Struthio camelus: one gene and its partner. The protein of the gene in region 2 interacts with the protein of the main gene of each other region in a pairwise test. Links are inferred from orthologs where the notes say so. Each region holds a gene or a part of one and is shown on either strand. Other genes may lie near its edges.

Evidence for each region.
Region 1: the proteins of OPRM1 (region 2) and GJA4 interact in binary tests that used the Homo sapiens proteins (3 or more experiments, as listed by UniProt). The link is inferred for Struthio camelus from reciprocal best matches to the Homo sapiens genes OPRM1 and GJA4.

The regions. Positions count from the first base shown.
Region 1 is NC_090964.1:9,687,098-9,697,741, reverse strand, and holds GJA4 (gap junction alpha-4 protein), read right to left. Parts: upstream 5,333-10,644; 5' UTR 5,066-5,332; exon of another isoform or gene 4,637-5,065; intron 3,955-4,636; 5' UTR 3,934-3,954; coding exon 2,902-3,933; 3' UTR 1,642-2,901; downstream 1-1,641. Other genes in the region: GJB3 (gap junction beta-3 protein), read right to left, coding at 8,952-9,758. UniProt on the Homo sapiens protein: One gap junction consists of a cluster of closely packed pairs of transmembrane channels, the connexons, through which materials of low MW diffuse from one cell to a neighboring cell.
Region 2 is NC_090944.1:79,750,434-79,761,451, forward strand, and holds the start of OPRM1 (mu-type opioid receptor), read right to left. Parts: upstream 4,375-11,018; coding exon 4,028-4,374; intron 2,323-4,027; exon of another isoform or gene 1,141-2,322; intron 1-1,140. UniProt on the Homo sapiens protein: Receptor for endogenous opioids such as beta-endorphin and endomorphin. Receptor for natural and synthetic opioids including morphine, heroin, DAMGO, fentanyl, etorphine, buprenorphin and methadone.

The DNA of each region.
Region 1 (10,644 bases), on a different chromosome or scaffold from region 2:
GTTGGACTAGATGATCTCCAGAGGTCCCTTCCAGCCTCAACCCTTCTGTGATGCTGTGATTCTCCTCCCAGGCGCTCGCTGTAGCCCAGGCGCCGTCGGTGCAGAAAGAGCCCGGCTGGCTCGCTGGCGGCAGTGCCGGGGTGCAGGCTTCCCCCCCCTCCCGGGAAAATACCCGCCTGCCCCGGGGATAAACCCCCTGGGGCTCTCGGAGCCTAGGAAAGCTGCACCGAAGGCATGGGGCACCGCGGGGCTACGGCTTTGCCCTTAGGGAAACTGAGGCACTGCGGGGCGGGGGGGTGGCGGGTTGTTGGGGGGTTGCTGCCCGAGTCCCAGAAAGCGAGCGGAGGAGCCGGTTGACGCCGGAGGTGTGAGAAAGGCCGTGCGTGCCTGCCCGGCCGCTGCCCCCCCGGCGGCGCAGAAAGGCTTCGCCAGCAGCGCCGGGCCAGCCAGCAGCCTTATCAGCCCCAAACTTTTATTTGCCTAAGGGCCGCACACCCTGCGTCGGGGGGGGCTCGTGCCAGCAGCTCGGCGGCCGCCTCCGCTCCCCGCGACCCCGGGAAGCTCCCGCGGCGCAGATGAGGGCCGCGCTGTTGTTGTTGGCGCGCGGCGGCGGCAGGTCCCAGCTGCGCGAGCCCCGGCGGCGCGGGGGTCACGCCGGGCGCCCCGAGCCGCCTTGTCACAACACGGGAACAATAGCCGTGTGCGGAGCCGCGTTATCGCAGCCCCGCGCGGCCCCGGCTGGCCGCGGCCTCCGGGCAGAGGGGGGGGGCTCTCGGCCGTCTTGTTTTCCACCTTGCAGGGCCGTTCGGAAAAGCGTGATGCTCCCCCGGCGCCAACAAAAATATCAGCCCAGGGCAGGAGAGGAGAGCAAACAAAGTGCTGCCCGATGGGTAAACACGCTGCGGGCGGCTGCACCGTTACCTTTCGCACTGGCATTTCCTCCCGGCCGCGCAGGGCTCCCCTCCGCAGGCCGCCGCGGCGCTGCTGCGCTCGCAGCTCTGCCCGGGCGCCGGCCCCGCTGCAGCACCCTGCGCAGCCCCTGTGGGAGAGGCAGGGGGGTGCCGGGGGGCAGCGGGGTAAGCCCGGAGACGGGTCTTCCCCTTCGCCCTCCTGCCCCCGCGCCGGGCAGCCGTGCCCGCCGCCCGCCCGGGGCTCTGCCCGCACCCGGGTGCCTCCCTCGCCGTTTCCGCCTGCGGGCGACGGCAGCAGTTCTGCACCCTATCACCCACGTTTCGTCTACGTGGAGGTATTTTTAGTATGTCACACCCTCGTTGAAGAGGCCCTGGGCAGAGAGCGCAGGCTCTGCCCCGGGCTCATTTGGCCAGAGAAACTAAACAACAGCCCGAACCCACATTGTGTGTCTTTATCTGCAGCTCATTTCCACCTATTATGCAGCAGCGAGCAGCTCCGTGGCCTCCGCGGGGTTTATCTGCAGGGGAGCCGGGGCGGGGGGCGAGAGGCCCCGGCGGCGGCCGGGAGCCCGGGCCGAGCCACCCGGTGCTGCAGGCTGGGCCGCGGGGAGGGCGTTAGTGCCGCGATGCTCGTGCTTTCCGCTCCCGCCAGAGCGGGCCGCAGCCCCCGGCTTCCCGCTCCCGGGGCCCGTGCCCGACCCTCCCCACCATGCACCACAAATCATCCTTTTACTTCATTCGGTTTTATTTAGCAAGATGTAACATTCTGTATCTGTTGGTGGGAATACAAAACAGCGCTGGGGAGCAACGCCCCCATCCCGCACTGGCCTCGCCAGGCTTCGCAGGGCCCGCGGGAAACACGCGGAGCAGGTTCCCGCAGCACCCGGCTGCTGCAGGGCCCCGCTGGCCCTTCCCCGATCACAGCTTCGGGGACCGGGGAAGTCGGGGCAACCGCTCACAGCGGCTGCCGGTTCTTGCCGCCCCGGCCAGCGCCTTGCCCCACAGCAGGAGACGACTTGTGCAAAGTAATAAAAACCATAACCCCCTCGAACCAGCAATTGCTAGGCTAATTCCTCCCCCAAAACAGCAGGGCTCAAGGGGCTGGGGGCCTGGGCCGTGGCTGGGCACAGCCCTCTGCCTTACCCAGGGCCCCGATGCCCGTCGCATGACTGCACCTTTAAGGCAGAAAAACTTCATAGTCAGGCCAGCAGGTTAAAAATAACTTAGAGACACACATTGCATGGGAAAGGGCGCAGGGACAGGACGCGGGGGGGCTCACACTCCCAGGGCCGTGGAGCCGGCAGCCCTGCAGAGATCGGGGTCGCCAGGGCTGACCTGGCTCCGGCTGCCTCAGTTTCCCCAACATGGAGCCAGCACCACAGCTGACCCTCTCCTCATTGCTGGCAGCAGGGCATCCCTGCCACAAACACCATGCTGGCCACAATGGCATTAACTTGCTGCCAGGGGTCACAGAAATAGGGTACGGCTGGTGACCAGGACCCGCTACACAGTGCTCCCCCCAGCCACAGGCAGCCCGGCCCCGCAGCCGTCCGGCTCTCGAGGCTGGACCAGCTCCGTGGGGCTGCGGAGGCCAGAGGCAAACCACTTCCCAGAGCTCGTCCTCCCAGAGGAGCCTCCGACACAGCCCGCAAAAGCTTCTCTGTGGTTTCCTTGTTTACAGTATATATAGAAAAAAAAGAAGAGAAAAAAGACTCTGCCCTCCGGGGACCAGAGGCGCTCAGCCGAGTTCGTGAAGGATCAGGTCCCAAAGCGTCTCGCTCTGCCGGAGGAGCGGGCGGCTGCCCCAAGAGGCTCTGCCGGCAGCGCCGCGGTACGTCCTCGTGGGGCGCAGCCCCGTCGGTGCCCACGCCGTGCCCCCCAGCAGCACGGCGCCCCGGCACAGGGCAGGCAGCGTCGCCGCGGCTGGCACCTTTGCGAGTGGGAGGGATGGAGAAAGGTCCCCCTCGCCCGCCGCCGCCGGCACCCGGCGCTAGACATACTGCTTTTTAGAGGCCGAGCTGCTGGGGCGGCTGCACTGCTTCTCATCGGGAGCCAGGGCTTCAGCAGCCCTCACGGCGTAGGGGTCTGATAGGGGCCTGCTGCCGCTGCTCATGGCCAGGTTCTCCTCGTTGTTGAAGTTGGCCCAGTTCTGCTCACTGGAGAGCTTGTTGTAGGCCTGGTAGGGCGGCGTATGGCTCTCGCCCATGGGGAGGAAGGGGTAGTGCTTGGGTGGGTAGGGGCCAGAGACCACATTGTCAGCGAAGGTGTCCTGGCCTGGGCTGGTCGGCACCGACACTTTCTTGATGTTGCTAAGCAGGTTCTTGCAGCAGAGGTGGAAGAGCTCCAGGAGGTTCAGGATTAAGGAGATCAGGCCCATCACCAGCATGAAGATGATGAAGATGCTCTTCTCAGTGGGGCGGGAGATGAAGCAATCCACCTGATGAGGGCAGGGGTCCCTCTTGCACACATAACGGGGCAACATGGAAAAGCCATAGAGGTACCACTGGCCAATGAGGAAGCCAGCCTCAAAGATGCTCTTGCAGATCACACTAATGATGTACGTCCACATCAGGGCTCCTCGGATCTTGAGCCGCCCATCCTCTGTCACATAGATCTTGGACATCTTCTTCTCCACCACTGCCAGGGCCTGCTCTATCTTGGGGTCCTTGCTATGGATGGCCCGAAGCTCACTTTCCTGCTGCTTCAGTTTCTCCTCCTGCCGGGAGAGATAGACAACGTGGCCGAGGTAAATCAAAGTGGGAGTGCTGACAAAAAGGAACTGGAGCACCCAGTAGCGGATGTGGGAGATGGGGAAGGCTTTGTCATAGCAGACGTTGGTGCAGCCCGGCTGCTTGGTGTTGCACACAAAATCCGACTGCTCGTCCCCCCACACGGACTCCCCGGCCAAGCCGAGGATGAGGATGCGGAAGATGAAGAGCACCGTCAGCCAGATCTTCCCGATCACGGTGGAGTGCTCCTGGACTTGGTCCAGCAGTTTCTCCAGGAAACCCCAGTCACCCATCTTCTAGGGAGCTTCACGTCTCTGGCAGCAGGGAAGAGTGGAAATGAGAGAAGTTAGTCCTCTGTTTCCCTGCCAAGGGGCACAGGGCAGATGGGGCTGGCTAACCTGCAAACTTTCTTGGGACACAGCTGCTCAAAGAGTGTCCCAGCCCAGAGTGAACCCACTGAGGAGCATCCCAGGTGGCACACACTTGGCAAGCAGGAGTCCCCAGTGTGGGGGGACCACCCTTCTGGGCTCCCTCCCACAGCACAGGGTGAGGGGCGTCTGCAGCGACAGCCCGCAGGACAGTCCCGCTCACAGCCCAGGCCTCAGGCACCCAGGGAGCCACCACCCAGCAGCAGCACCTAGCCAGCAGCACCCGCGGCTCGTAGCCGTCCCAGGGCACGGCCCCCAGCGAGGGGCTTGCTGGCCAGCCATTATGGCACGTAGCTAGTTTGGGGCAGCCCTTGGGTGCAGGAGCAGCTCAAACCTACTTCACCACCAGCCCTTTGCAGCAGCTCCACCAGGGGCAGAGAGCAGCAGGGTCGTGGGGAGAGGGAGCCCAAAAAGCACCAACCCTTGGGACCCATCAGCCACCCCGACCTCGGCTAGGGCAGCCCCAGCTCCCGTCCAGCGGCACAGGGGCAGCAGCCAGCCCGGGAGCAGCCTGGAGTGCCCCCGTCACGCCGGCTGCGTGGCCCCTGTGTCCACCAGCCCCACTCACCGCGGAGGGACCAGCACAGCGCGCGGCTCCCGGCACCCCTCGGCGTCACCCCTGCCTGCCGCCGAGCCTTTCCTGCATCTCCCCCTGCGAGTGCAAGCCCTGCAAGCCAGCTGGGAGAGAGGAAGCAGGCACAGCCCTGACTCCTAATTAACCCCTGCCAATTAAGCAACCAGAGGTGCCAGCTGGCTTGTTAAAGGGACATCCAGCAGCGGAGGGATGAGGCAAGTGCCCAAAGCAGAAAGTCGGAGCAAGTGGTGAAGGGTGACCCCACGTCCCGAAGCAGAAAGCAGGCGCCCACCGCAACAAGTACCCGGCACCAGGACAGATGCCACTGGGGAGGGCGCAGGAGCACCCGCGTCTCCGTCCGGCCCGCTGCCAGCAGCTGGGTGCCCAGGGTGCCGCGGCCGGTGCCCGGCGCCGCTCACTCACCTCTGCAGCACGGGCGGGCGCTGCGGAGCGAGCGCCCGGTGCCGGGCACGTCCAGCCTGCGTCTGGTGCTGCGCAGGATGTGAGCAGCCGGGGCCTGGGAGGCTCTGGCCACGGAGGGGACCCAGGGGAGCCCGCGGAGGAGGAGCGCAGGCAGGAAACCCAGGGACCAGGGCTTAAAGCAACAGCCGAGCTGCAGGTGTGCGGGGAGCTGGGCCCAGGGGCCTCCTCGCTTTCCCTCTGGCCTTTCGGGAAGCCCGGCCCCCCCCCGGCGCCGTGCAGGGAGGGGAAAGGGGTGGCGGGTCCGGAGAGAGCCGCCCGGCCGGGATCCCCCCCCATGTCTGACAGCGAGTGACGGATGGGGCCAGCGCAGCCTGGAAATAGAAAGCGGAAGAAAACAAGTTAGTCGGGACTGAAATAATAATAATCAGCCCAGATGGGAGGCCCCTGGGAGCCAAAACCATCACAGGGCAGGGCTGCGGGATGGACCGAGCCGGGCGGGCGGACGGGTGGCAGTGTGCTGCCCAGTGGCGACGTCGCGCTGTCCCGGCGGCCCCGGCACAGGGGGACGAAGGATCTGTGGCCGCATCGGGGACAGCGTCTCAGCAAGGGGCTGTGGCCTGCCAGCGTCGCGGGGGCTGAGCCCCGCATCCCGGCGCGCCAGTGGCCACGAGCCATGCCCAAGGCGGATGCAGCCCCAGCCCTGCTCCAGGCACCGGGACAGGGCGAATGGCCCAGGGACATGTGGCCAGCAGCTGGATTTCCCTGGATTTCCCTGCTGGCTCGTGCCTTGGAGCCCTGCGAGCTGCAGGCAGAGCGCGGCTCGCGGTGCGGCCCGTGCCAGCAGCCGTCCTCTGGGGAGGGGGAAGAGCCTCCTCGCGCTCTCTTCCGCCAGCTGAGGCTCTCCCACCAGGCTAAACCGGCACAGCAGCGAGGGGTCCTGTTCCCAGGGTGCCCAGATGTGCTGCAGCTGGGATGGGACTGCCAGCAAGTTGCCCCAGCTGGGAGCCCCAAAAGTTGCAGGGTTTAAGTGTCAGCATCACGTGGGACGTGCGGGAGGTACCAGCCGAGCTCGGTCGCAGCCCCCGGGCAGCTGGCCCGACGCAGCAGAGGATGCTCTGTGCCCGGCATGGTTGGGGCCTGCCGGTGTCCGGGCCGCCGGACTCGCTTTCCTGGTGCCGTGCTGTCGGCGCGGTGGCGTGCGGTGCACCGGGCACTGGGTGGTGCTGGAGCCACGCTGCAGCCCCGAGCCCCGGTGCAGGGCTGCCCCGGGAGGCCTCGAAAACACAGCCCCAAGCCTGACACACTGAGCTGATGAGATGAGCTTAATTAAGCATGCACGGGCTGTAACACACTGTCCAACTTTAGGCTCAGCTCTGCTGTGGGGGAAATGGATGGCTGCTGTCCCGTCCCAGGCGCTGCAGGGTTTGGGGCGGGTGTGTGCAAAGGCACTGAGCACGGGGACCTGAGCGAGGCTTGGCAGCAGCGGCCCTGCTTCAGGAAGGCAGTTCGGGTGGATGCTGATATTTTATGCACAGGCTGAAGCAGGGCAAAGAGCCCCACGTGCATCCACCCTCACTGTCCCGCTGCGCTTGGCACAGCCAGGATTTGGGGTTGGGCAAGCAGGGAAGAAAGTGGGCCAGTCCACGCGCATGGCAGGAAGCCACTGGTTCTCCAACACCAAGATGTGGCATTTCCTCCTCCAAGACAGTGCTGGGGCTGAGCAGTGGGTGGAGCAGGAAAAGCACCATTATATTTAATATAAAATAATTGCACCCTATGTGCTGCTCTATCCAAAATACCAGGGTGCCGCAGAGGCGGGAGCACGTTTCCCACGGCGAACCACTTCCCGCTCCCGACCGCCTGCAGTTGACAGCCGAGGCATTGCTCCATAGCCAAGGAGCAAACGGAGCAGCCCTCGCCTGCTGATGCTCCTGCTTCCACCTTGCTTTACCCGCCGAGAGGCCGTGCCCAGTGCGCGGGTGCCTGTGCGGGTGCCCGACGTCTTCGCGCCTGGCCCGCGGGCAGGGTGCTGCCGCGGAGTGGGGAAGCACGGCCAGGCGGGAGCTGGAAACCCCGGCTGACCAGAGCGCCAGCAGACCCTTTGCATTGAGCTGTTTAAGGAGAGATTAAATGGAAATCATTGCTATTTATTGTAATATTTATCAAGGTTTAGTAAATAATTGATGCTGATCCCTCTTTGATTTCCTCAGGGGCCAGCACGCGGTTGCAGTGAATTAAAGCTCAACGGTGCGTGACGAGCCGGGAGAACGCCGCGCCGGAGGCAGGCACCCAGCAGGCTGGATTCAGGGAGAGCTTCACCTGCACCAGCCCCAGTTGGGACGGGAGCGCTCGGGACCTGGCCACCTTCCTGGCTGCTACAGACTCCCGGGAAACCTCAGCAAATTCATTTCTTCCTGCCTAGCCATTTCCCTTCTCCCTGCTCCATGTGCCCTCGCCGTTCCCCTCCCTGGACTCACAGCACACAGAGCAGATCTCAGCATCTACAAACAACATAACATTTATTGGCCTTTTGGTTTACATAGCTAATGACATTGCTGAAACATCCATCCGAGGCGAGGAAGGGATGCAAAGACCCCGGTTCGGAGGGAAGCAGAGGAGCCTGCAGCAGGGGGACATCAGCGTGGCGCTTGCATGAGCAAAGAGGGGAAACCTGCTTCTGCCCCAGGACTGGCAAATCGCCCCAAATGGGCAGTTTGCAGCGACCCTCATCGGTGATTGCTCTGGGTTCGCTGACATCTTGCAGCACCGCTCTGGCAGCACGAAGGACCCGCAGCAGCTCCACCTCTGCCTGCAGCAGGACGAGGGCTCTGACCGAGGAGCTGGCATTCAGGCACAGCATCTGGGCATCGACGTGGTCCCTAAAGCGTGCTGCACCGTGGCAGTGGCCAGTGGTGATCGCAGGCCTTACCTGCGTCCGCTCGGATGCCCCTCTGCCCTTTCTCAGGGGCCTTTAGTTTGTTGGGCTTAGTCAATTCTGGTACGGGTCGAATGGCTCGGGCACTTCGCAGCTCATGGGTCAAGGGGCAGGGTCTCTGAGTCGGGCCGGGCCGGGCCGGGTGGGAGATCACATCTCCTCTCCTCTGTGGAAAGAACAGACACCCTCAGGCACGCTGCTGCCCGCGCCGAGCGGGCCCTCGCTAGCGGCACACCCGAGGACGTGCCCACCGTCCCGTCGTCCCTGCAGCGTTATTCCACAGAAAGCCTAGACCTCGACTCTCAGCTCTTTGGGAAGGTCCTGGTTGGGCGGAGGGACCAGGAGCCCCTTGCTCGGTCCCCATACGACTGTGCATCCTGTCTCCAGCAGAGCCCGTGAGGTTACTGGCCCTGAATTATGTGCTGCAAAAAGGGAGCAGGGACAAACAGCACCTAACAGAGACTGTGGAGGTTGTAGTCTCTCCAGCAAGTTCACATCCGTCATTTCTCCCATGGCATAAGGGCACCCACGGTTCTCCCCCCTCCTCTCCGAGCTCTCCGAGCGCAGAGGAGAGACGCACCCAGCTACGGGACTGCTTGCTGTGGCGTGGCAGCTTGCAGCAAAATGAAGAGCACGAGCTCCTGGATTCAGAGATGCTCTTTGGCTGCAAACTCCTGTAGCACGCACACAAAGAGGGGCTGTCACACACAACCTCCCTGCGAGGACCCTGTCCCTCCCTTGTCGCCCTAACAAGCCTGGGCAGAGGTATCCCCACGAGGTACATTCGGTTGGTAGCACCAAGTAGGAGAGTTCCCGTGGATGTGCTCTCCCTCCCCTTTATAGCCATCAAGGTCCCGGCTGAAGAGTCTGGTGGTGGCATTGCAGATGGGGTCACTGTCCCTGGCACTTGCCAGGGCATTTTTCCCTCCCCCTCCCCCTTCCACAACCCTGTCAGATCAAAGTCAAGTTGGGAGCCGAGGCCCTCAGGGCTGCCACAGACCTATTCTGGGACTTGTTTTCCTTCTCCTCCAGCTTGAGGTGGCATCGGCAGGTGGAGGCCTTGCTGTAGCTGACAGAGCGCTTGGTGGACTTCTTCCATTTCCGCGCAGTCCGTACAACCCGCTTGAAGATGAGGTAGAAGATCTCACAGACAGTGAGGACAATGCAGATGGAGGAGGCCCCGACCATGAAATAGGTGAAGACCCTCTTCTCGGTCGGCCGAGCGATGTAGCAGTCTACAGTGTTGGGGCAAGGGTCCACATTGGCGCACTTGACGAGCCGTGGCAGGTCGAAGCTGTCCCACATCTTGTGGAGGAGGTAGAGGAACAGTATCTCTATGATAAGCTTGAAGAAGAGGCTGAGCAGGTAGGTCCACCACAGCCCGCCGTGCTTCTTGCCTGTGTTGCTGTAGAGCTTGGGGCAATTCTCCCCGTTCTTCTCACGGTTCTTCTTCTCACGGTCTTCTCGGTAGGCCACGTGCATGATGACCAGGAGGGAAGGACAAGTGACAAAGATGAGTTGCAGGGCCCAGAGGCGTATGTGGGAGATGGGAAAGAAGTGGTCGTAGCAGACATTGGTGCATCCTGGCTGGCGTGTGTTGCAGTCAAAGTCCTTCTGCTCATCCCCCCACACGCGCTCGGCTGCCACCACATAGACCAGCACGCGGAAGACAAAGACCACTGAGAGCCAGATGCGGCCAAAGGCCGTGGAGTACTTGTTGACCCCGCTGAGCAGTGCCTGCAGCGTTTTCCAATCCATGGTGGGCGGCGCTGGCAGGGGCCAGAGTCATCCAACCTGGATGAAGAGCAAGAGAAACAGAAGGTGAAGAGATGCAGTGGGAAATAACTGGCCAGTTCATCTCTCCCTGCATTTCAGCAGGGTCAGGGCTCTCTCAGGCTCCTTAACCTCCCTAACTCTCTTGCCCCACTCTGCACTCCTTTGGGTGGAGGAGGACCCATCCCGTGCACGTACAATAAAATGTGGGCTGAATGGTGGCACTGCTGGGTCCTGTGCTGACTCACATTGACATTTAGGAGTGACTCAACCGCTTTGCTCTTCCTTCTCATAGAGGCTTTTTGGTAAGTGATAAGGAACCAGGAGGAGTTCCTGCCAACCTCAATCCAGGTCTGATTGCGTAGGTTGATATAAATTGGCAGCGAATCCCCTGCAATGGGCCAGGATAAACAAGAAGAGGCCGTGCCCTGAGAGTCAGATGGGGCCAGCTATGTGGGAAGGTTAATACTTCAGCAAAGCAAGGGCTTGTGCGAAAACAGCCCCGTGTCCTGGCGGGCCCATGGGGAGGGGGCTGACGGTGACCGCAGCACATTTCCATCCAGAGCAGAGATCCCCCCCCTCCTTTTGGGGCCTGGAGAGACCCATGCAGAAGTGCCTTTTGGGGATGGATGGGGACCTTTCCCATCAGGGAAGTACTGCCTTTCCTGGGGGAGCTCCAGGATCCCTGCCTGCTCTCCCATCGCCAGCCCAGCGGGGCCCTGGCCTCCCTGAGCTTTGGTTTCCACATGAGTAAAATGAGCTTAAATTGGCTGCTGCGCCCAAAGGCGAAGCGGAGCTGCAGAGCGGGGGATGAGGAGACCACGCCAGGGACCAGTTTTCTCAGTCGCAAGGTGACGCCTGAGGGGAACCC
Region 2 (11,018 bases):
GGAAAACACTCTTTTCCTAAGGTGCATGAGAACAGGGCTGAAGTAACCAGAGCTTTATTGTATCGTACAATCTTTCCAGATGAGAGTGTTTTTTCATCAGAGCTCTTTGTCCCTTCAAAACATTATTCAGAGGTTGTTCTGAGAAATGTAAAAAGACAGCTTTTAGTTTCGGAGCAGGAAGCTTTTTAAAAAAAAAAACAGAGTAATGACTGACTACAATGAAACAAGACATTTCTTTCCTCTTGTGAAGGATCACAGAGTACCTCAGGCACCTTTGTTTATGATACGTGACAAAATTAATAGCAAAGCAATTAAGGGATGAATCTTGACTTGAATGACTTTAAGGGCTATTGATTGAATTACGGTCATCTCATGGCACTTAGCATTGTGGAGGACTGGGACCTTAGAGAGCTATTCCACTCTTCCAGACATGCGATGCTGAAGATGTTCAGCTACAATTCTATTATAGCTTTCTAGCATTGTGCAAACTGCCTTAATCACAGGGCATACTCTTCGTCCCACTCTAATCTGTGACTAATATCCCATTGACTTGACTAGAGAGCAGGAAAAGCCTATAGATTATTGTGAAAATTAATTCATACCACATGGTACTAATTGTACTCTGTGCTGTCATACTCTGCAGCAGCTAGAAGTAGCATTTGCTGTTGACACAGGTGTAACAACACTATGTTTGTATTAATAATTAACATTTATATGAAATACGTGAGGAAAACTGATAATAAAAATTATCTGCAGATTATTCAGATGGTAGGAAGTTCATGGATGGCAATAAAACCTGACTATTTCTGCTGTCACTTAAAGGACTATTTTTATTCTCACTGAAGGAAACAGCTCAGTGTTGGTAATATGGGGTTCAACTTCATACATTGCAGATATATCATGTTGTAAATATTCTTTCAAGGAGGAAAGGCACCATTTGGGGAAAAAAGAGAAGAGTGGTTGAGATTGCATTAATTATATAGTAATATGTATATAAAATCATTGCTCCTTACACTGGAAATCTGGCCAAGGGAAAACGGGGCAAAGGACTTGTGGAATCTACATTTTCATATAGATAATGACATTACATTTCTATCTCCTTTTTGGACGTGTCCCCTTTTTGACTTCTGTTTCCTACAGCAAGGATAACATGGCAGCATTGTGGATCGGAAACGAGGGTTCCACGTCCAACAAGGACTTGCACAATTCTGTCTCCAAACTCATGGATCTGACTCATCTGGAAAAGCTGAAATGACTGGATGGAGTTTCAAGTTTATCTGTTTATAGGAATAATGCAATAGTTATTCCCCCAAAAATATTTCTAAAGAAGCTGAGATTATGGCGCAATGGCAACATGCAGCACTGGGTAAGAAGTCACTGTTGCTTTCACTGGGGCTAGATTAACAGAGGTGAGTAAGGGACAGTGTTTCAGATTTTTAAGCACCTGCCTCCCAACTCCTAGCATTTCCAGGGTAAATTAGGTATCCATCCTTGCTTTTAAAATCTGATTTCTAGTACCCTCAATCTGTCTCAAATTTAACATAAACTTCAAGACTTAGCTCTTCCTGAGCAGGTGTGGTGCAAGAAAAAAAAAGAAAAGGAGCTTTATATGACGTCAAATTCAGTCCAGTGAAAGGTTTGCTCCTATCTTCCGCTGGATCCAAGGATATATGAGCACATGCACTCATCATTTGCATCATGCATATCAACTGGGAATGACTGGGAATACTGGCATCTTAGTACACCTTGCAGCAGGAAATAAATAAAAAAGTTCCCTACTGTAGTGGAGGTAGACTAAACCTACAGAGAAGCATAGAAAGGAAATGCATTTTTGTGTTACTTAAACCACAGATCCTATTCAATCATAACATGTATGTTCTTCTTCATTCCAAATTGGTAAATAGCTGCATGATATTAATTGGGAAGCAACTCTGTCATATGGAAAGCTGCTCCTGCCGTTAAAGCACAGCAGACCTGCATTCAGTCTGTCTTTGCCATACAATTTCTGGATGGTGTTCAAGAAGCCATTTAATGTTCTTGTACTTTCATCTGTAAAATGAAAACACATTTTTGTTTTCTCCTATTACTTCTGACTTTTGTTTTTAGATTGTAATCTTTGGGAAGACGCTCTCTTTAAACAGGTATCTAAATGCAGGTGCCTTGTTCAATTTGACTTTGCAGTGCAAGCGTAATTCAGTTAATAAATAAAAGAAATATGAGCATACCACAGGTTATATCCAGTATATATACATAATCCCAGGGACAACTTGAGGCATATTTCTCTGTCGACAACCATCCTGGCTCTGTTATATTGTGCATCTGCTTTTTCTCGCAGAAGGATGCATACAACACTTGCTCAGACAATTGTAATCATGCCCCTGTTCAGAAGCATTTCTACAGCTGTATCTTAACATGCAAATAGCCTGTGTCTCAGGCTGACCAAAACCACACAGCAGTACAGATCTTCCCAGTGCTGTATATTTAAAATACAGCCTCTAAAATGTAGTTAAGCACTAGGTTTGTGGATTGCTACGGTTTGAACCACTGATGCATGTAATGTAATCTCTAGTCGCATTAGGTCTACAAGCCATGCTGGTTTTGACCTCCCCAACATGCTGCTACACACTGAAGGAACCAATCTCTGCTGTGCTGCAGCATCCTACCTTGAGCATTTTTCTTTTCTCTAGCTAGTGCTCCCAGTGCCGAGCGTGCCCTGAAGCCTCCCCGGTGCTGCTGGCCTGCGAGCAATGTCTGGCACCAGCCTCAGCTTCCACCTGTGAGGTCCCTGCAGCCGTGGCACCCGAGACTGATGGCTATGTGGCTGCTACCCTACTGCAGTGAATGTCAGCCTAGCTAGCCCCAGTGTGTTTTTAGAGTTCCCTATTACCCTGACTCCTTGGGAAATGTACAGTTTGAAGGGAAAAAGTGAAGGATGCTTTGAAAACTTGGGGAAACTGGGCGGCCTGGGGCTGTCCCGGCGGGGATGGGCGCACCCCAGGGCACTCCCTCCAGCAGCGCCCCGCTGGGCTCCGCTCGGCTCCCTGGCTGCTCTTCTCCGCGTCCCTCCAGATGTTGAAACCACGAGGAGCCAGGAAGGAAAGAGGCGCTGGGTGAGCCCCCGTGCCGGGCCGGGTCCCCGGGAGGTGGCGATGTTCCCCCACCGAAGCGGCCCGCCCCCATCCCGGCCGGGTAAAGGAGCCCGTTTAATCTCGCCGCCACTCGCCTTCCGCGAGAGGATCCCGATTTACCGCTGTGGGGTTTCTCGTGCGTGGAAGCCACAGACAGATGTGAGGGACCTGGGCAACACCTGGGCGCGCTGCGCGGCGGCGGCCGCCCCCCGCCCGCGGCTGGCGCGGGAAAGCTGCGAAATGGTGCAGCACTGCCGGATAGCTTGATTTCCTTATAGTGCGCGCGATCCTTTTATATACATCTATCTGTCTACACACATGTATACACAGACAGACACACACACACACACACATATATATATTTATATCTCAACGCCTTAGGCCGGGGAGCTATAAATCCAGAAGACAGAGGCACTTAGCCGTGACGCTGTCTGCATTTTGCTTGTTTGGGAGAGGTGAGGGGAAAGACGCGGGGATGTGCGCGAGTGTCTATACCCAGACGCTCACGGGTAGTGGCTACAGTCACTCCTGCCGCCCTCCTGCCTCGGCGGCCAGGTGTGACGTTCGCGCCGCTGCTCGCTCACGGCGCTCCCAGCCGCAGCCGCGTCCCCCCGGGGGCCGGGGCAGCACCTCCCCGGCTGCCAAGCGGCGCTGAGGGGCCGCGCTGCCCGGCCGGTCGTCACGGCCGCCGCCCCGTCTGAAGAGCTGCTCTCCCCGGCCACTCGCCCCGCAGCTTTCTCAAAAGCCTCCCTCCCCCGCGCCGGGGCAGGAGCCCCAACGCCCCGCCGGCACAGCCCCTTGCGCACGTCCCCCCTGCCCCGAAGAGGCCCCGGGGGGCGCGGCAGCTCCGCGCCCGCCCGCCCGACGGCAGCGGGGCCGGGGCGCTGCAGCCGACTCACCGGATGATGACATACATGACCAAGAAGTTGCCGAAGAGCCCCACCACGCAGACGACGGAGTAGAGGGCCATGATGGCGATGGCCGTGACCACGGAGGGGCCGCCCGCCGCGGGCGCGCAGGGCCCGCCGCCGCCCGCGCTGCCGTTGCCGCCGCCGCCGCCGCAGGGCTCGGAGCGGTCCCAGCCCGCCGCCGCCGAGCCGTTGCCCCAGGCGCCCGACGGCGCGGCCGGGCAGGGCGGCGCGGCGGGGCGGCAGGCGGCGGCCGAGGCGTTGGCGGCGAAGGGGGCCTCCAGGGCGCCGGCGAGGAGCGGCGCGGAGCCGTTGCCCAGCAGGTAGGCGACGGCCATGGCGCGGCGGGGCCGCCAGCCTCGCGGCCGGCGCGGCGAGCCCGAGTGGCGGCGGCGCGGGCGGTGCCGGGCAGGCGGCGGCGGCGGCGGCAGCAGCGGTGCCCGCCCGCCCCGACGGCGCGCCCCGCCGCTGGGCGCCGGCACGTGTGTGCGGCGGGCGGGCCCGGGAGGAGGAGCCCGGGGCCGCCGCGGGGAGGGCGGGCCGGAGGCTGGGCTTCGCCCGCCACTGCCCTTTCTGGCGCGGCGCGGGCGGCTCCGGCGTTGCTGGTGTCGGCTCGGCCCGCCGAGGGCGCCGCAGGAGCGGGCTCGGCTCTGCCCGAGGTGAGCCCCGCCGCCCCCGGCAGCTGGCGCGGAGCCCGGCGCGCTCCTGCGGCGCCTCTGGAGGGCCGTGAGGAGCGGGGGCGCTCCGGCAGATCTGCCCGCACAGCACTTACAGTGCTCCCTTCCCGAGCCCCGAAAGCACCGGTGGCCAACCCGAGTGAGACGGCACCCGGGCAGAATGACTTAACGGGCTGCACGCTGGGGAGGGGAGGCGATCAGTGTGCAGCTATTAGCATCGCGAGTCAGGGGCCTTGACAAAACGTCGCCCTCTCTGATTATATAGCTTGGAGGAGAGAGCGCTGAGCCTAGTAATAAAATGTGGTGAACCGTACAGCACCACGCTGGGAGGGGATTGTGACCAGAATTGTGCTTTAGAAATGACTTGGATATCACCAATCCTCAGAATTTTCAGAGGACCTGGTGCTTCACTGCTCCAAGGATCCTCTCCCATAGACATTGGTGTGATTGTTATCAGATAGGAAGACACAAAAAAAGTATCGAAACTGGAAGGCTGGGGACATGTATTGTGCAGTATGTTCGCCTTGCACGCTCCTTATTTGCATCGGCACATTTTTGTGCTCAGTTTGTTGCTCAGTTGCTTGACTGCTTGCAGGTTCTTCATTGATTAGTAGAACCAAGCTCTTCTACTGTCTCATCAATGAAATCAAAGGAGATCCTTGGTAAGGGAGAAAAAAATCTCCAACTGGGGAAGAAGGTGACAGAGTGGGAGTGATTGCTCCTCCTGCTTCATTGCGGACTCACGCTTAGTGCATCTGCTTGCCCTGTGCATAGCACCTCCAGCTACTTCAAGAGTGTAATGGCAAAAATGGAGAAGAGGAGGCGAGTTGCACCATACCAGAGAGATGCAAAAGGACAGACGTTTTAGTCAGAGTTGTTCCTGCGCTTCCATGATACAGGCAATGGCAGCTAAAGTCGATTAGAGCAGGTAATGCTAGTAGAGGTAGACCACATGCTCTTCCTAAGTGTGATCATTAGCCATGGGGAGGAAAGCGAGGAAAAGGGAAAAGGATGCCATTGGAGTGGGAGAGGGCCATAGATCTGGGTAACGGCTATTCCTTTTTTAAAGTCTTATATTGTCAGGTGTTGTCAGAGATGTAATGGAATAGAGGAGGAAGATCAATTAAAGCTGTTAATGGGTGCTTTTTGTAGATAACATGTATAGCTTCATGGCCACAGAGAGTATTCTGAGCATCCTTTTGATGAGAGAGACATTTAACGTCATATTAAAAAAAAAAAAGAGGAGCTTTAGAACAGGACTTATATTCTCTCTGGAAAAATCTGTGAGAGAGTGGAAATGAAAGCAAGAACTCGGAGATTTCACATGCTCAAAATCACTGCCTCTTTATCGCCTTATGAAGTATAGCATAGTCATACACAGAGCAGGAGGCACAAGGCTTTAATGGGCCATTCTCAAACACTTGTATTTTTGAGTATGTGCATAGTGCAGGAGCCTCTCTCTGCACTTCCCCTTTCTTCCACCAAAGTCATCAGAAGATTTTCATGTAAGCCTCACAATTTGTAACAGTGGTATCTTTGGATGTGTACACCTATTCCTGGCTGTGTGAGGGATAGAAGATGGGTAACAAAACCCAAGGCTGCTGGGATGTCCTGTCTGAATCCTATATTACAGCCCATATGCCCGTATTTGTATTATATTTCAATCATCCTGGCTGTCAGAAGGGCCTCTGTTGTCTAAAAATGCATATCTTAAAAAAGTCTTAAAAACAGATGCCCGGGTGTTCTAGTCTAGTGTTATATACAAGACTATAACATTTAAGACTGAAAAATTAATACATCTGATTAAATCAACCTCTTGGCAGATGCAGATGAAAACTTGAACTGTAAAGAGGATTGGCAGCAAGCCCTGGGAGCTGAGCCTGTTTAAGATAGGCCTCATTAGACAAAATTTCAAAGGTAAAGGAAAGAAACATAGTTAAATGCTCATCACAAAGCTATTACAAGTGTTATTTCTCAAGGACATAGGCAATATGAAATAAATCTTAACAGTAACGGTTTCAGATGGTGAAGGACATTTTCAATATAATAATACATGAGACCATTTCTTCAAATAAATTCAGATAATGAAGGTCTGGATAGTCAACACTCTGCTGAAAAAGTACTTATGGAGTTGTAGACCTGTATTTCCTTCCTGTGGGTAGTAGCACAGTGCACACAGAAAAGGGAAAGACATGGCTTTGAGACTGTACATGACTGAAAACCTATGAGAGAGCCCAGAGATTACCAGTATGCTCCTGGCAAAATTGAAGTCTGTGCTGAGACCTCTGTTAAACACAGGGGTATTAAGTGAACTCTAGTTTTACCCTGGTATGGATATGACTGTGAAGATATGCTTGCTGCAGTGGTGTCGTTTGCTTATTTCTTAAAGGGAAGCTCCAACATCAGGTTGGTGTCAGAATCACAGCTTTCATGTTAAATCAGATTTTTGCTTGGCAAGTTCCTGTTTAGCTGTAACTAAAAATGGATGGGCAGAGAAAGAGTCAAAACTTGAACAAAATTCTACAGTGAAAATAGTATCCTAAAGACTGTCCTGGGAGTATTGGTCGGTGAAGTTGCTCTGGTACAGTTATATATATCCACAGTGACACCAGAGTTTCGTGAAGCAGGTTCACTTCCACAGTCTCTTTGGGATTCCTAAGCTAAATGGAAACCATGCACCTCACTTAAAGCCAAAGTAAAAAACAGAGCTGAGAGACAGGGTGTAGCAGCTTGGCACTCTGTAAAGGTGATCTCTATCCTATGGTGGTGCACCTCATTTCTTCCAGCAGCAGGGAAGGAAGGGGTTTGGGAGCAGGCTGTGCTCTCCATCAGGCTTGCTGGTGGAAGTTTTCCTTCTCCAAGCAAAGTGCAAGAGCAAAAGCCATGCAAGGTCTGTCTGTCCTGAGCAGAAGGAGTGGGAGACATTACACAAGAGTGGGCAAGGAGGATGGGATCTCAGTAATCCCACAGCCATTTTCCGCCATAGTCCTCAACTGGTTGTGAACCCCATCAAAGACAGATCCTCCTTTTTTCTCCTGAAGGACATCCTCAAGGCGATATAGTGATAGTGTTTTGGTAGCAGTATTGCAAAGATGCGCACTTTAAGTCATACATACCATATGAACAGGCTGCACGACTCTTGTTTTGGCTGGGTTTGGGCAGAGCAGACTTGTGCACGTTTAGAACAGACGACGTGTGGCCTTAACTTACGCCTGTACAAGATGAGTGTAGAATTCTACCGTGTTAAAAAAATAATTTCATAAGGTCTTGGGCAATAAGAAAATGAGATCTTATATCTTCTTACTATGTCAGACTAGTCTGTGGTGCTCACTGTGCAATGTAAGGAAAGTGTTGTGTTGAAAATGTTATTTAAGAATTTTCAGGCAAAGTTCTTAATTAATTTATAGTTTCAGTGGCCAGAAAGGACCATTCTGGTCATACTGTCTGATATTTTATGTAACACAGGTCATAATCTCTCTGTGTTGTGTTTCTTCATTTATTCTTTTACCCAAAGTGATGCTAATTGATATTAGCATTTCTCAGTCTCCTTAATTTCAGTCCAGTGTTTTAAGCAAACAATGTATTTCTCTCCAAAAATAATTAAAATCTCCGGTGTTCAAACTGTAGGAACTTTAAATATGATTTTTATATAATGATGCTACACAGTCCTGAGACCTGGATGCATAACTTAGACTACAGAGTTCAGATGATGAGAAATACTCATCATCTGAATTGTAGAGTTCAGCACTTTTTTTTCCACTTTTTTTTCAGGATTTATAAAAATGTTTAGCATTGCTCTTCTTTTGAAGAATCAGCTCCTCTTCTTTAGAGATGATGAAAGTTTTGTCAGCAGAAACCAGAGAGCTAGCTGCAGAAGAGGAGGTAAGAGTAATTGTTAAGTGATGACTAACGAGAAGGAACACAGAGGCCAGAGTATGGCACGGTTGCTAGGAGGGAGGCAGCAGTGAGAGGAAATATCCAGGATATGCGGGGCTAGGGTAGGACAGTGGTGTGCTACAGTAAAGAGGAGATGGATACGTGCTCATGGAGTTAAATGTGAAGCCAGCTCAATTTAGATGTCTACTACAAGTCAGTGTCAGAGACAAGATATTAGATGCAAGGTAGATCATTGCTTTGATGTAGCAGGGCTTTTCCTTCCTTGTTACAGATGTTTCGTTGTGAGGGAACCAGATGCTGACTTGGGAGGGTAAGGGTTATCCTGAGTCCTGCCGTTAAATTTATGTGTGCATCATGTACAGCAGTACGTTTGGAGTTATTGAGTAATTTGTGTTCTGTGCTAGCCAGGTGGGGACAGATTTGCTGAAGGAAGAGATTCTAGAGCGGCAGCTGGGTGTCCTAGAATGCCACTGTGAATTCTGGAGCTCTAGGAGTATGTACATGCTCATTACAGTTTCGATCCCTAAAATTAATTGAAGACTTTAAGAATTTTGATACTGAAATTCTTGCCTGATTTTCTTGCATATGGATAATAATCATGTATTAATAGCTCATCCAGGGTGTTGGTCTCCAGTCAGTTATCTTTGTGGAAAGTAGAGGTTTCTGTTTTCAGCTTTTTCTTCCATCACATCAAAAAAGCAGTCTCGGTCATCTGCATGACTTCTGTCTTAGTGACCCTCGTCACCTATTTCTACTTGGTAAGCTGGGACAGTGACTCTTTGCAGGTAAGAGTAAAGTGCATGGCGACATATACTGAATCAATTAAGTGAACAGAAGTGCTTTTGATTCCAGGGTCTTTGAGCTTTTTTGTACTTGTGAAAAATAAAATATATCTTTGAGGTTTTTCATCACAGTGGTCGTGAATGGTTGCTTTTGTGTTTTTCTAACAAGTGTGAAGTGTATTGGGGGTGTGGACTTGGACCTCCTAAAAGGCTACTAGGTAAATTCATTAGTGTTTGTGATGAACTGTGATAAGATCACAGAGTCACAGAATCACAGAATCATTTAGGTTGGAAGGGACCTCTGGAGATCATCTAGTCCAACCCCCCTGCTCAAGCAGGGTCCTCTAGAGCACATTGCACAGGGTCGTGTTCAGGCAGGTTTTGAATATCTCCAGGGAAGGAGACTCCACAGCCTCTCTGGGCAACCTGTTCCAGGGCTCAGGCACCCTCACAGGAGAGAAGTTTTTCCTCAGATTCAGATGGAACTTCCTGTGTTTCAGTTTCTGCCCATTGCCTCTTGTCCTGTTGCTGGGCACCACGGAGAAGAGGCTGGCCTCATCCTCTCGACACCCACACATTGATGAGATCTCCTCTCAGTCTTCTCTTCTCCAGGCTCAACAGGCCCAGCTCTTGCAGTCTTTCTTCCTAGGAGAGGAAGAAAGCTCCAGCCCTCTAATCATCTTGGTAGCCCTCCGCTGGACTCTCTCCAGGAGTGCCATGTCTCTCTTGTACTGGGGAGCCCAGAATTGGACACAGGACTCGAGGTGAGGCCTCACCAGGGCTGAGGAGAGGGGGAGGATCACCTCCCTCGACCTGCTGGCAACACTCTGCCTAATGCACCCCAGGATCCCATTGGCCTTCTTGGCCGCAAGGACTTCTAGTTGCTGCCTCATGTTTAACTTGTTGTCCACCAGCACTCCCAGGTCCTTCTCTGCAGAGCTGCTTTCCAGCAGGTCAACCCCCAGCCTGTACTGGAGCCTGGGATTATTCCTGCCTAGGTGCAGGACCTTGCACTTGCCTTTGTTGAACTTCAGGAGGTTCCTCTCCGCCCACCTCTCCAGCCTGTCCAGGTCCCTCGGAATGGCAGCACAGTGCATCTTCTGGTGTGTCAGCCACTCCTCCCAGTTTAGTATCATCAGCAAACTTGCTGAGGGTGCATTCTGTCCCTTCCTCCAGGTCATTGATGAATATATTGAACAAGACTGGACCCAGGACTGACCCCTGGGGGACACTGCTAGCCACAGGCCTCCAGCTTGACTCTGTGCCACTGACCACAACCCTCTGAGCTCGGCCATCCAGCCAGTTCTCAAGCCACCTCACCGTCCACTCATCTAACCCACACTTCCTGAGTTTACTTATGAGGATGGGATGGGAGACAGTGTCAAAAGCCTTGCGGAAGTCCAGGGAGACAACATCCACTGCTCTGCCCTCATCTACCCAGCCAGTCATTCCAGGAGAGAAGGCTATCAGATTGGTCAAGCATGATTTCCCCTTGGGTGAATCCATGCTGACTACTCCTGATCACCTTCTTGTCCTCCATGTGCTTAGTGAGGACCTCCAGGAGGAGCTGTTCCATCAGCTTTCCAGGGATGGAGGTGAGGCTGACAGGCCTGGAGTTTCCTGGCT